Linked DNA regions of Elephas maximus indicus. The protein of the gene in region 1 binds, or shares a complex with, the protein of each later gene. Links are inferred from orthologs where the notes say so. Each region holds a gene or a part of one and is shown in the gene's direction. Other genes may lie near its edges.

Region 1 (7,775 bases):
ATCAACACCCATGAAACTAGTGACCAGTTACCAGTACTTCTGATAACACTGTTACAGAAAAATTTAATGCCTATAGACCTGCTTACCTGTAGAAAAGCAAACATAAAAAGAGCGAATTCTGCCTCTTTTCTGCCTTTCCCATCATGTTGAATGTGTCTCGACTCTACCTGCAAAGAAGTCTGAAAAATGTAGTTTTTAGCTTTTCAGTCTTTGCAGTGAAGGATGGCACATTAGAAGGGGTTGGAATGCATGTTAAGCAACAATCCACCTTATCCCCTAAAGTAGCACTGAAGGACCTTAAATGAAAAGTACGGGAAGAATGTAGACTTAACCCCATATACATTGAGTTTGAAGTGATTAATATTGAATCTATTACCTCTCTACACCCCCCCCACTATACCCTTATTCTGAGTTTATAGTTTCTATTAATGCTACCATTATTTTGTGATGTATCAAGGTTTAAAACCAGTGTCCTGCATCTAATAGGCATTTAAGAAACATCTCTCATTAACATAAATGATACCCTACACTACAAAAATATTGTGAACATATAAATAGGAAAAACTCTTACTATTCTAGAACCAACTCTTTGCGCTGAAAATTAGAAGGAAATTAGCAAATTAAGGCACTCTGACAAGACTACTACTATCACTTCTGTAACAGTGATTCTCCATCATTTTTTTCTGTCCCAAAAGACCTAAGGGCAACATTTTCTGGGTAATAATTGATCACGAAAATGATAATGATTGTGAGCTGAAGGGGATAGGAAACCCCATATTGGGTGTCAAAGAATCTCTGGGCTTGTGGTATTACCCCATGGAAAACGTTGCTTTATTCTGTCACTAACAGCAATAAAGAGATGGACTCATAATAAAGACTGTATCTGATTTATTGGTGAGCTATAAGTATTCAACATAATGGTTAAAATTAAAGGTGCATCCTTCAGTTATGGACTGTAAACATAAATATATTCATTACAAGCATCTTTGAAATTTGCTGCCATGAATTAAAATGCATGTGACAATAAATTTTCAATAAACATTAAGTTAAACAGAGGTTGGAAATTTAGGAAGGGAGGATATTTGGAGAATCTCATTCAGGCCTGTTGATTGAATCAACTCCAATAAGCGGATAGTAAAGTAATTTAATAGGGTCTTAACTATTGTAAAAAGGTGCATCCATTGACATGAATAACATTATAACATAGATGACGCAAAGGAGTACTGAAAAGCAGGAAAGTGGCTTAGCCAGATTGCATTAAATGAATTAGAGAAGGAAAAGAGTAGAAACTAGGAGAAACTTAGAAGGTTATGGCAGCTCTTCAGGCAAAAAGTCATTTAGTCCATCCCCTCATTTCTTAGATAAGGAAGCTGTGATCCTAAAGTGGTGGTTGTTTTGTTTTTTTAGTTTTTCTTTTTGGGTCTCAGAGCTGGTTAATAGCAAAACTGGCCTCTCTCTTCATGCCCATACATCTTTTCTACTATATTTCTTTACTTACAAATTCATTAGGACCACCTAAGACTTCGTGGCACAGTGGTTAAGCATTTGGCTACTAACCAAAAGGTTGGCAGTTTGAATCCACCAGGTGTAACTTGGAAACCCTGTGGGGTAGTTTTATCGACTCAAACAGCAATGGGGTTTTAGTTTTTGATTTTTGTTTTTGTTTTTTAAGACTTCAGGTATCTATAAAAGTATTTCTATTATGATGGTACAATACTACAATGGCATTGGTAATTGCAGACAGATATAATTAGCTAATAACGTTTCCGCAGGAATTTTGCATTTTGCAGGTTTTTTTTTAGGGAAACGTAATTTAATCTTTGGTACATTAAGGATTATTATGACTTGTAAATGAGCAAGCCAAAGCAAATTACAGGGGCTGATAAACTGATTTTCCTTTAATTTGCTTATTTAAAAAAAAAATCAAGAAAGACATAATAAACCAGATTGTTATTTCACAGAAATATTTATTTCTTTACATTTTTCTAGAGGCAGTCTTGTCTCTCATGAAGCTATCTGGCTATAAAGCCAGTGACTACTTGTCTCATATTACAACCATTGATTATTCATAGCATCCTATTTCCCACCTCCCTTTCTCTTGTCCTTTCTCACTTTGCATCCCCTCTTTCACTTCCTCCCTGTATTATATCAGCTACCAGCTGCTAAGAAAGTGGATTAGGTTATTTACCAAATCAGGAGTTCTTTTTTTTTCATTCAGCTCACTTCCTTTGTACACTAAGACTAAAAATAGGTATGATTTTGTCTCAAATACTTTGGTTGGACTAACACTTTATCATTTGAAGGTTTGGGTAGCAGGAAGCATGTCTAAGCTTAATGTAAAGGCAAGGTAGTAACTTTAAATCTAAGTCTTACTTGATTTCTAGTGTAGATTTTTCTTCTAAATTGATCTGTAAACCAGTATACACTAGAAACTGTATTTCTCCCTAGACAGTTTGCTTAATTTGAAAATGCATGCTAATCTCAGCCCTAGACTCTTCCAACATATTTAGGTGAAGGCAATGGCAATTGTTCTTGGCCTCTTCTAGTTTATTTCTTTGTTGTTCTCCTGTCTAGTTTCCTGAACTACCGAGCCTCAACTTCAACCCCCTATTCCTATTTCAAACTGTCTTTACATTAATGGAGCACTGGGGCACAGTAGTAAAGAACTTGGCTGCTAACCAAAAGGTGGGCAGTTTGAATCTACCAGCAGCCCCCTTAGAAACCCTATGGGACAGATCCTCCGTCCTATAGGGTCTCTATGAATCGGAATTGACTTGACGGCAATGGACGGATTTTTACATTGATAATGCACCTGAACATTCTTCTCTAGTTTTACTGATATTCAGTGTGTATTGATCTACCTTCACTTTGTCGACAATTTGGTTCCCACATCTACAGCGGCAATCTCAGTGGGATCCATACTGGTTGGGCAAACTATGTGGTCTCTTTCCATTAGGAAAGGAAGATCAGACTGGAGATTTCTGGCTTGCTTTGATTTCTGAGAATAGGCTGGTTTAACTGGGGAGAACGTGCAGGCCTACTACTACTCTAAGGTCAGAGTAGTTCTGAACTAAAACCTAAAACACAACCCATTGTCTTCAAGTTGATTCCGATTCCTTGTGACCCTCTAGAACAGAGTAGAACTGGCCCATAGGGTTTCTAGGGCTGTATATCTTTACAGAAGCAGACTGTCACATTTCTTCTGCAGAGCGACTGGTGGGTTCAAATCGCCAACCTTTCAGTTAGCAGCTGAGTGGTTAACCATAAAGTAGTGGTGGAACTTCTCACCCCTGTGAGACAAAATAGAATTCTTTCCTTTGTTCTCTTCTCCCATCAGTCCCTGCTCTGTGCTAGGACCAAATCCAGCCTCTGAAGGACTATTTCTTATATGCAATTATTGAGTGCATTTTGGATCCATACATCTCACTATATCACTGTGAGGACCCCACCCGTGCAACATAATATCAGAGCTCTGCAGCTCAGAAAGGGTTAAAGAACATTTAATGCCTATGAAGCAGCAGTCAGGAAATCAAATGATGCATTGCATTGGGCAAATCTGCCGCAAAAAAACTTCTTTAAGGGGCTAAAAACTCAAGATGTCACTTTAAGTTGCACCGGACCCAAGCCATGGCGTTTTCAATCGCTTCATATGCATGTGAAAGCTAGACAATGAGTAAGGAAGATGGAAGAAGAAGTGACGCCTTTGAATTATGTTGCTGGTGAAGAATATTGAATATGCCATGGACTGCCAGAAGAATGAACAAATCTGTCTTGGAAGAAGTACAGCCAGAATGCTCCTTATAGCAAGGATAGCAAGACTTCATCTCACGTACTTTGGACATGCTATTGGGAAGGGCCAGTCCCTGGAGAGGGACATCATGCTTAGTAAAGTAGAAGGTCATCAAAAAAGAGGAAGGTCCTCAATGAGATGGACTGACACAGTGGCTGCAACAATGGGCTCAAGCATAGCAATGATTGTTAGCATGCCACAGGACGGAGCAGTGTTTTGTTCTATTGCGCATAGGGTTGCTATGAGTTGTAACGGACTTGAAGGCACCTAACAACATTAGAGTTACCATGGGTTTTGTTTTTTTTTTTTTAACGACAACATTGCTTTCTCTTTTGGACCATTGCCAAATATCCACTGTTAACCCGTATACTCTAAATGCCTACTGACAAAAATTGAAAAATCCTAAAGCTCTCATAACTGTGTTTTACATTTAGTGGACCATCAAAATGGCATGGGATAAGCTGAACCTTTTACTAATTGACTGGTTTATTTAAGCAAAGCTTGGTCCTGATATATTTAACCAACAGAAATAGTGCTAATAAGATTATCCGGTGAAGTAATTTTTAATGAAGTGGGAATAAAAGTGGATAGCAAGAAACAAACAAAAAACAGGTGGAAAAAAATACAACACAACCTTCTTGTCTCCCCTAACATCTACATGCTTTACAGCTGTCTGTTCCTTTCATCTTGGGGTGATGTTAATCTTCTGTTTATTTTGCTACCATAAATCCAAGTACAGGTATTTCACTCAGACATAGCCCTCTAAAAGCTGGTCTATGCCTGTTCTTTCTCATCTCAAAAATAAGGGAAAGAAAGTGTGTGTGTTTGTGTCCAGTTGGTGGTGTTAGTGGTTAAAAAGCAAGCTGGGACTTCCTCTTTGAACAGTTGTCTTTTCCCCTTAGACGAGGGAGAACTTATTTAGTTTGAGACTGAATACTGTTGAAACCAAGCCACGTACCGAAGAGAGGGTATGATGGCTAAGAAGCCCCCTAAACCAGCCCCTCGCAGGATCTTCCAGGAAAGGTTGAAGATTACTGCTCTTCCCCTGTACTTTGAAGGTTTTTTATTAGTCAAGAGGCTAGAATACCAGGTAAGGATATAGATAATAATGTTAAACCAGAAGCTTCTGTCTTAATACAAAATGTATTTCATGGTGATGCAATGGGATAAGGGTCCCTGTGTTTCTGTCGGGTTAAAACTTTCTTCTCTTCCTTGAGGTCAGGAAATATTTTTCCAATTTTGCATACTTCAAATATATAGTATATGGCATATATATATATATGTATATATATAACAAGATTTTTTATATTAGTAACATATCATTAAGTTACTAATATAATATTAGTAATATGTATATGTATAACATAAATTTTTATATTAGTAACATATACCATTAAGTTACTAATATAAAATAATTCAATAATCTAAATTTCCAAAGAATTCATTTAGAAATCACAGAAGATTTTGGCTTAAGAGATAATATGTTTCTTAAATTGTCTCTGCAATTTACTACTGTGTTTCCATGACCATGTGTACTATTAAGATAATATTATGATTGAAATTAAGCTTTCTGCTCATATTCTCAGTTGTTTATAAATAATAATATGTATTTATAAAAGTTTATCAATAATAATTAAATACAAAGTGTCAAATTTTATAAAAAATTATAAAAATGATAAAATTGATACTTCTTAACACTATGATAGGGATGGCAGTGGACTGGCAGTGTTTTGTTCTGTTGTGCACAGGATTACCAAAAGTTGGGGAGCAACTCAATGGCAGCTATTGTTATGAAACGCTGTTCAGGATAGTTAATTTGCAAGATAATATTTAGGGTGCTATCTTGGTTAGCGGTGAGTTGGAATCGACTCATGGCAATGGGTTTTTTGGTTTGTCTTGGTTAGTATGTACACAGTAAGCCATATTAATCTATTCGCTCTAAGAAAATTCACTAAGCGTGCCATATTTTAAAACTGTCAACAATGAAAACCTATAGTTAAATAAAATCAGTTCTTTAAAAATAGCAATTGTGGCTAATTTTGCAATTAGTGAAAGAAATACACGTTATTGTTATTAAAGAAAAAATAAATGATTTTTTTTAGGTTAAATTTTATGACATTTTAATATTAATGGAACTAGAAATTTTAAGTGTTTTCAGAAATGCTACATAAAGTGCTTAACAACAACACTAATAAAATATATTTTCTGAGGATTTATTAAGTATATAGAAAAATTGTGTGTGTAGAAATATCTGTAATAGCACATTCATACTTCTTATATCTACATTAGATAATTTACTATTTGAGAGTAAAGGCATGGTAATTTTTATTCAGTTTTGGGTGTTAAACATGTACTAGTAATTTTTGTCAGTTACTACTTTGGACACATAATTAGGGAAGAACATTCCCTAGAAAAGGATACTATGTTTGGTAAAGTAGAAAACAAGCGAAACTCTCCATGAAATGGGTTGGCACAGTGGCTGGAACAATGGGCTAAACATATCAATGATTGTGAAGATGGTGCAGGACTAGGCAATGTTTTATTCCGCTTAAGTTCACCATGAGTCAGAGCCAACTGAACAACAATTAATAATAAAATTGAAATATTTTTGGTTGACCACTCAACTTATTCTTATATGCTTTTAAAGTAAATTCAATCTCGTCATCACAAATTAGCCACACTGGCACACCATGCCAGGAAAGAGAAAAATTTTCATTTGATTATTCTTTGGATGTTTTCCAAAGTATTTAAAATAACTGTTTCAGACACCAGTTTCCTTCTAATGTTTAAAGAATGCATGTCATTGGCATGGGTAGCAGGAAGAACAAGAATTTTAGAATGTCAATAAAACATTCCCTTCCTACTGGTTTGCCACTTTAGTTTGTGATCTTGTGCAAGTTACAATCTCCCTGAGACTGAATTTCCTCAGTTATAAAATGGGGGCGAATACTACTCGTCTCCCAAAGTACAATGCCTGGGATGCAGTGGGTGTGCAACCAATTTATTTATTCAAACAATGTTTATTGAGTGTCTCCTCTGCACTCAAGCATGACACTCGTTCTAGAGATACAAACATGAATAAGACCTAAAGACCTTACCTTTAGGAGTCTTACAGTTTAGTAGGGGTGATGGAACAATTGATATGCTTTAGCTTTCCGTAGAAACCATGCTTTGAAATGCAAAGAATAAACTATAAAAAAAAAATAGATGTAAATATTTCTGATGAAATTAACATTTGAATTCATAGCAAAGGATCTTTTCTTGAATGGGTAGGGAGAAGAAATCAAGAAGACAAAAATAATGTCTACTTATAGGTGGTTTCAAGGGTTAAAAGTGATAACATGTAAAACACCTGGCTCACACTAAAGGTTAGGTTCGTCCTCTTCCCATTTCATTGTTTATCATATACTTATTAACATAATCAGTTTTGGGTCCACAAGTATAATGGCTCAGAGGAGAGCCACAGTGATAATTAGCCAATTAGAAAATAGAAGATATGAGGAAAAGTTTAGAAAAATAAGTGGGATTTCCAAGGAAGCAGTGCCAAGTGCCAGGGAACCTTTGAAAGAAAAGTGAACCCAGGGTATATGGTAACGTCGTCTTTGAAGCTAATGGGCTGCAAGAAGATGAGAAGCTCTGCAGAATGTTAAGTGGGGTGTCTGGTAGACATTTAATTAGAGAAAATATAACTGATGAGTAACCTGGTCTACAAAAGGACAATTACACATTGAGAGGTGTTTTTGTGACAAGAGTACGGCTAAGAATCTAAAGAGCTGTGCTTCAGGAAAATGTACCTACATAGACCATTTAGCATGCAATTCCAGAACATCTCTGGATCCTAGGTCAAGAACCCACGCAAAGTATATCATCTTCATTGAAGAGATAATGTGAGAAGAGTGACTTAAACCACAGCAGTAGAATTTTGGATTGACCAGGAAAATTTATTTGATAAACTAAAACCCAAACCCATTGCCGTCAAGTCAAT
Region 2 (7,717 bases), on another chromosome or scaffold:
AACCTGAACAGAAGATTTCAAAGGGTGGCTCAGGGAGACAAAGTAAAGTGTTCCAATGAAACATGTGAGGACCTGGAGTTGGAAAACCAAAAGGGAAGAACACACTTGGCATTTCTTAAGCTTAAAGAACTGAAGAAAAAAATCAAGCCTCAAGTTGCAATATTGCAGGATTCTATAGGGAAGATATGGAATAATGCAGGAAGTATCAAAAGAAGATGAAAGGAATACAAAGTCCCCGTACCAAAAGATTTGGCCGACGTTCAGCCGTGTCAGGAGGTAGCATACGATCAAGACCCCATGGTGCTAAAAGAAGAAGTCCAAGCTGCACTGAAGGCATTGGTGAAAAACAAGGCTCCAAGAACTGACGGAATACCTGTTGCCATGTTTCAGCAAACAGATGCAGCGCTGGAGATGCTCACTCGTCTTTGTCAAGAAATTTGGAAGTCTCCTGGTCAACCGACTGGAAGAGATCCATATTTGTGCCCATTCCAAAGAAAGGTGATCCAACAGAATGTGGAAATTATCAAACAGTATCATTAATATCACATGCAAGTAAAATTTTGGTGAAGATCATTCAAAAGCAGTTGCAGCTGACAGAGAACCGCCAGAAATTCAGGCCGGATTCAGAAGAGGGCATGGAACCAAGGATCTCATTGCTGATATCAGATGGATCCTGGCTGAAAGCAGAGAATACCAGAAAGATGTTTACCTGTGTTTTATTGACTATGCAAAGGCGTTCAACTGTGTGGATTGTAACAAATCCTGGGGAATTCCAGAACACTTAGTTGTGCTCATGAGGAAACTGTACATAGATCAAGAGGCAGTCATTCAAGCAGAACAATGAGATTCTGTGTGGTTTAAAGTCAGGAAAGGTGTGCATCAGGGTTGTATCCTTTCACTATACTTATTCAATCTGTATGGTAAGCAAATAATACCAAGAAGCTAGACTATATGAAGAAGAACTCCGCATCAGGTTTGGAGGAAGACTCATTAACAACCTGTGATATGCAGATGACACAACCTTGCTTGCAGAAAGTGAAGAGGACTTGAAGCACTTACTGATGAAGATCAAAGACCACAGCCTTCAGTATGGATTGCACCTCAACATAAAACAAAAATCCTCACAACTGGACCAATAAGCAACATCATGATGAATGGAGAAAAGACTGAAGAGGTCAAGGATTTCATTTTACTTGTATCAACAGTCAACACCCATGGAAGCAGCAGTCAAGAAATCAGACGATGTATTGCCTTGAGCAAATCTGCTGCAAAAGACCTCTTTAAAGTGTTGAAAAGCAAGGATGTCACTTCAAGGACTGAGGGTGCCTGACTCAAGCCATGGTGTTTTCGATCACCTCATATGCATGCGAAAGCTGGACAATGAATAAGGACGACCAAAGAAGAATTGATGCTTTTGGATTATGTTATTGGCGAAGGATATTGAATGGACTGCCAGAAGAACGAACAGATCTGTGTTGGAAGAAGTACAGCCAGAATGCTTCTTAGAAACAAGGATGGTGAGACTGTCTCACATATTTTGGACGTGTTATCAGGAGGGACCAGTCCCTGGAGAAGGACATCATGCTTGGTAAAGTGGAGGGTCAGTGAAAAAGAGGAAAACCCTCAACAAGATGGACTGACACAGTGGCTACAACAGTGGGCTCAAGCATAACAACGATTGTGAGAATAACTCAGGACGGGGAGGTGTTTTGTTCTATTGTGCATAGGGTCACTATGAGTCAGAACTAACAACAGCACCTAACAACAATAGTATTCAAAATATTATGTTAGTGCAACCTTGAAGGGGAAATTTGCATTGTTGCCATCTGTTCAATAAGTTGGATTTATCAAAATTTTGGAGCATGCTACAAAGGTCCAGTTTGTCAAATTATGGACAACTGGTTGTTAAAAAATTAAGACTGTGGTTGTCTTAGTCATCTAGTGCTGCTCTAATAGAAATACCACAAGTGGGTGGCTTTAACAAAGAAATTAATTTTCTCACAGTCTAGTAGGATAGAAGTCCAAATTCAGGGTGTCAGCTCCAGGGGAAGGCTTTCTTTCTCTGTCAACTCTGGAGGAAGGTCCTTCTTATTAATCTCCTCCTGGAATAGGAGCCTCTTCATGCAGGAACTTCAGCTCTGCTCCCAGCACTGCTTTCTTGGTGGTATGAGGCCCCCACTCTCTGCTTGCTTCCATTTCCTTTTGTCTCTCGTAAGATAAAAAGTGGTGCAGGCCACATCCTAGAAAAACTGCCTTTACGTTGGATCAGGGATGTGACCTGAGCAAGGGTGTTACATCCCACCCTAGTAATCTTTAACATAATCTTATCTTGCCTCAATAACCACAGGCAGAGATTTGGATTTACAACACATAACAAAAACAACAACAACAAAAAAAACCCATTGCCTTCGAGTCAATTCTGACTCATAGCGACCCTATAGGACAGAGTAGAACTGCCCCATAGGGTTTCCAAAGAGTGCCTGGTGGATTCGAACTGCTGACCTTTTGGTTAGCAGCTGTAGCACTTAACCACTACATCACCAGGGTTTCCTTATAACGCATAGGAAAATTATATCAACCACCAAATGGAGGACAACCACACAATACTAGGAATTGTGGCCTAACAACGTTGACACGTATTTTGGGAGGATACAGTTCAGCCCATGGAATTTGGACATCTAGAACTTCGGTGTTGTCAGGGGTTTTCCAGTTGTCAGCCTTCCATTCTAATAACTAATGGTTGGAACGTGTATGCCTTCTGTGTACAGGGGCATTTGTTTAGCTCTAAGCATCCATTCTCACTTTTGCAATTAGTGTGTCATCATGGTATGAGAGTCTGATTTCACAGTATCGGCTTTCAAAGCTGATGCCCCAGTGTGTCACGTCCATTGTCAAGTCTTACGTTAATTTTAGGCTTGATGGGATGGTCTGTTACAGCAGAGCTCCGGTTACTACCTTCAGTGTTACAAATGGTAGATGTTTAAAGTGTTCCACATTTCCTTTAATGCAGTCTGTAAGAGGTTACCTCGGGTCTCAATTTATAACTTAATCATTCGGCTTTTAGTTTGTTCCTGTTTAACAGCCTTTCTTAGGATGTCCATGGCATGGCCTGTTAGAGACTGTGCTCACTGACGCCGTCACTGACTGAGGAGCCTCCATGTGTCAGAGCTTCCAGAGCAGAAGAGTTAAAGTTCTGTCACAGCTCCTAAAACGCACCGCTTTTACAGTCAGGTCATTAATTTCTAATGGTGTTAACGAGGTCCTTGTCAGGCCTTCTATGAGACTACCTAAAAACTGTAGGATTTTCTTAGTTTAAGGAACTCCTAATAGGCATAGCATCAAGACAGAATGCTCAGAGCTAGTAGGTGCTCATCTGTTTGCCAAGAAGGAATAACAGAGAAAGAAAAAGTACTGTCGTACATGTTTTCAGTTTATTGTTGTAGGGTTGACCTAAAGGGCGAATTCTTATTTTGTCTGGGTATGTGCAGCCCTGACAGCAAATAGCTGTCTAAACAGGTTACAGGCTGCCTCGCTGAGGGGTTCCACTGGCAGTGGGATTCCATGAGCCCATTGGCCACGTCTGTGTGTGGCTCGTTCAGCCGTGTAAATGATTCCTGCAGGGAAGCCAGGTGTACATTGTGGAAGGTCTGAACAGAGACCTTACGTGGGACCAAACGCTGCTTGGGCTTCAGAGGTATGCAAAGGACCAACAGAATCTATTAGAATAATTTGAAGGCTTGTCAGGCTTTATCTTGTCAGTATGTTCCTTAGGGCGTCTCCGTGCTGCAAGGTCCTACGAGGTATTCAGCGTAACTATGTGTTGGAAAGTGTGTTGTGGCGTAGGTAGATTTCATTTGAGTGCCCAGTTTTTGGTTATCGTTACGGTTTGATGGTTTTAGATGTGCTTTTTTTTGCTGTTTAATTGTCCATGTGGCCCAATACTTAGTGTCATTTTGGTGGGTGCACTGAACTTAGCTACCGCAGTGTTGTACTGTGTTTCTACGATATAAATTTTAATTGTAGGGTTTGTAATGTGTTGCCAAATGTCTTTTCCCCAAACTTCTTGGTTGCCAATTTTCCAGTCATTTTGTTGCCAAGTGTCAGGACCGTATGTCCAAGTCTGGTTCTCTGGGGCTGTTGCCCTCTGAGTCTCTCTGTCTCTGTGTGTGTTTCTGACAGTCTCTGATCTCTGTCTCTGCCTTTCTCTGTGTCTCTTGGTCAATCTCAGCTGGGCTCTGTCTCTCTGCCTGTCTCTGTGTATGTCCATGCATGTGTCTGTCTGTGTGTGTGTCTCTCCCTGCCTGTATCTCTGTGTGTGTCTCTCTCTGGTTCTCTTCCTCTGTGGGTGTCTCTGTGTTTATGTGTTTTTTAGTGTGTGTGCCTCTCCATGTCTTTCTCTCTTTCTCTGCTGTGTTTGTGTGTTTTTCTGTCTCCCTCTCTCTGTCTCTGTCTCTCTCTCTCCCTCCGCCTCTCTCTCTCTTTTGCTGTCCCACTCTCTGCCTCTCTCTCTGTCCCTCTCTTTCTGTCTCTGTCTCTCTGTCCCTCTCTCTCTCTGCCTGTCTCCCCCTCCTCTCTCTGTCCCTCTCTCTCTCTTTCTCTGCGCCCTCTCTGTCTCTTTCTGTCCCTCTCTCTGTGTCTCTCTCTCTCTCTCTCTCTGTTCCTCTCTCTGTTAATAGCAGAGCCTGTCCGGCAGAGCAGCGGATGTGTGAGGGATGATTCAGTGGCTGACAGGAAGCCCGTCACCCCCCCTGCTGCCCGTCAGTGTCTCTGGCATTGGCGTCAGCTCAGGCAGGTGTCTGGGCTCAGGATGGGGTGGCCGCAGTGAGAAGCCCTGACTCTCAGGTAAGCTTTTCCCAGGAGTGTCTGGAGCTGTTCCCCGCTCATCCCACGGGGGAGGGGGTGGCCCTGCTGGCCTAGCAGGAGTACTTGGTGGTCCTGTTGGGTGGGGTGGAATGATGCCAGGATGCCCCTGGCTATGAGGCCCTCACCCCAGACCCTGTGGCGCTCAGAGGGGCAACCTTTTCTGAGGCTCCAGCCCCCTTCCTGCCCTGACACAGCCCAGGGAAGCCCCCAGGTTGGTTCCCATCACTGCCAGACCTCTGAGGGGCAGCTAAAAAACCAGAACGGTGGCTCCAAGCAGGCCCAGGCCCAGGCCCATGAGCCTCAGTTTTTTCATCTGTAAAATGGATACTAACATCTCTGCCCCAGGGCTGCGGGAGGATCGGTGAGAGTCTCCAGGCAGTCATGCCTGGTCCTGGCCCTGCCACCCCACTGCCCCGACACACACACACCTAGCCCCTATCCCGCCTGCCAGCTCTCTGTTGGGGCACCATGGGGATGCCCGCTGTAAGGCTGGGAGGCTCCCTGTGTCTGGCTCTGTTGGAGGGTGGGTCAGGCTCCCAGCCACCCGGCTTTCACCATTGCCCCCACCGCCCCCAGGGACAAGGGCTGCCCAGACCTCTCTACCACCCACCCTCCTGCCTTCTCCTTGCCACCTGGGGGTTCTGAGCCCCACTAATAGGGCCTCTCAGCCAGCCTCATTTGAAGCCCAGAGTTATTTGGAAAAAAACGGAACAGGCCCAGAGCAGAGCCTGGTAGCTAAAGCTTTCTGAGGAGATCAGGCCAGTTGCCACCTCTCACTCCAACCCCTGCTGGCTCTGCAAGTCCCTTGTCCTCACTGGGCTTCAGTTTCCCCATCTACAGCGTAGAGAGGACTGGGATATTGAACAGGATGGTCCCCAGGAGCCCTTCCGGGTGGGAGGCTCGGATGCTGGCAGCGAGCCCCAGCCAAGCCCCTGACCGTTCCCGCCGCTGCTAGCTGCAGGCCTTGTTCATATGAAAACTGCCCACTTCCCTTTGTGCTATTTTGGCCGCAGAGCCCCAGAGCTGCGGTGGCCCCCTCCCTGCCCCGCCCCGCCCTGGCCCCTTGGGGCCCACCTGGGGCTGGGCCCTGCCTCTCCTGGGGAGCCCACCGCCTCTCCCCCCTGTTCCACCCGCCCACCTACTCTGAGAACCCCTTGTAAGAGAGGGACTCAGTCCGGGGGCGGGCATATGAGTGTTCCCTAAATTAGCCTCTCTTTTGAAAAATATTTTAGGGTTTTTAAAAATTTTAATATGAAAAATGGGCAAGGAGCGTGGGGTCTGGATCAGCCCTGGATCAGTCCTGGCTCTGCAGCACAGCTGTGGCCCTCCTCTCTCAGAGTCTTGGGAAAGGGGGCTGGCTGGGGGTCACAAAGGCCAGGGATTGAGGGGTCCCATGTGTTCTGGCCTGCTTTCGTTAGCTCCCAGCCCATCCTAGGCCCAGCTGCTTGGCCCCTGTGGGTTGGTCGAGGGGACAGGTCGGGCCTGTGTGTGTCTGTGGTACGGTCCAGTCAGCAGGTTCCGGGCTGGGCTGCTCCACGTTTGCTGCGGGCACCCAGGGCCTGGTTCCCACAGGCCACCAGCTTCCCACCCCCCTTCTGTGGGGGCTGAGGAAGCACATGAGGCAGCCGCAGTAGTACCGCAGTGGCCAGCTCTGACCTGGCCTGGCTGCCCTTCACATGGCTCCTCTCCTTGCTGGGCCTCAGGACAGACTATCCTGATGAGTGTCCATCTTTTCCCAACTGCTGAAGGCCAGCCATGCTGGGATTCAACAGCTGAGACCAGGTCCACCCTCAGGCTCCCTCCCCTCACCCAGCGCCAGAGGCGGAAGGGCCTTAGGGTGTACCCAAGTGCCCTGGCCTCAGACGAGATTGTGGGGTGACAAGGACCTTCCTTCCTCCTTATGGGGAGGCCACCCATCACATGGCCAGGAAATCTTGCTCTTCCCACTGACTCATTTGGCTTTGGGGGGTGAGAGAGGCGGGTGCGCCTGAGGGCCCCGACCGTAGCTCAGCGCTCTGTCCTGACGGCCCTGACTGTGGCTCAGTGCTCTGTCCTGAGGGCCCCGACTGTGGCTCAGTGCTGTGTCCTGAGGTCCCCCAACCATGGCTTAGCGCTGTGTCCTGAGGGCCCCGACCGTGGCTCAGTGCTCTGTCCTGAGGGCCCCGACTGTGGCTCAGCTTTGTGTCCTGACGGCCCCGACCATGGCTCAGCGCTGTGTCCTGAGGGCCCTGACAGTGGCTCAGCGCTCTGTCCTGATGGCCCGACCGTGGCTCAGCGCTCTGTCCTGAGGGCCCCGACTGTGGCTCAGTGCTCTGTCCTGAGGGCCCCGACCGTGGCTCAGTGCTCTGTCCTGACGGCCCCGACTGTGGCTCAGTGCTGTGTCCTGAGGTCCCCCAACCGTGGCTCAGCGCTGTGTCCTGAGGGCCCAAACCGTGGCTCAGCGCTCTGTCCTGACGGCCCGACCATGGCTCAGCACTCTGTCCTGAGGGCCCCAACCGTGGCTCAGTGCTCTGTCCTGAGGGCCCCGACCGTGGCTCAGTGCTCTGTCCTGAGGGCCCCGACCGTGGCTCAGCGCTCTGTCCTGACGGCCCCGACCGTGGCTCAGCGCTGTGTCCTGAGGGCCCCGACCGTGGCTCAGCGCTGTGTCCTGAGGGCCCCGACCGTGGCTCAGCGCTCTGTCCTGAGGGCCCCGACCGTGGCTCAGCGCTCTGTCCTGACGGCCCGACTGTGGCTCAGCGCTGTGTCCTGAGGGCCCCGACCGTGGCTCAGCGCTGTGTCCTGAGGGCCCCGACCGTGGCTCAGCGCTCTGTCCTGAGGGCCCCGACCGTGGCTCAGCGCTCTGTCCTGACGGCCC

The links.
Region 2: the proteins of STAP1 (region 1) and LAT2 are in contact, whole or in part, in a crystal structure (PDB 3MAZ), measured with the Homo sapiens proteins. The link is inferred for Elephas maximus indicus from reciprocal best matches to the Homo sapiens genes STAP1 and LAT2. Residues at the interface, in NP_001304698.1 of Homo sapiens: Arg184, Arg203, Pro204, Gly205, Ser206, Ser212, Ile215, Gln217, Ile219, Lys225, His226, Tyr227, Lys228, Glu239, Leu240, Glu241, Tyr255, Phe256, Glu259, Thr260, Arg261, Asn263, Leu264; in NP_054865.2 of Homo sapiens: Asn134, Ser135, Tyr136, Glu137, Asn138, Val139, Leu140, Ile141, Lys143.

Annotation. Positions count from the first base shown.
Region 1 is NC_064823.1:91,985,728-91,993,502, reverse strand, and holds the start of STAP1 (signal-transducing adaptor protein 1), read left to right. Parts: upstream 1-4,712; 5' UTR 4,713-4,760; coding exon 4,761-4,880; intron 4,881-7,775. UniProt on the Homo sapiens protein: In BCR signaling, appears to function as a docking protein acting downstream of TEC and participates in a positive feedback loop by increasing the activity of TEC.
Region 2 is NC_064830.1:109,527,456-109,535,172, reverse strand, and holds the start of LAT2 (linker for activation of T-cells family member 2), read left to right. Parts: upstream 1-4,691; 5' UTR 4,692-4,842; intron 4,843-7,717. UniProt on the Homo sapiens protein: Involved in FCER1 (high affinity immunoglobulin epsilon receptor)-mediated signaling in mast cells.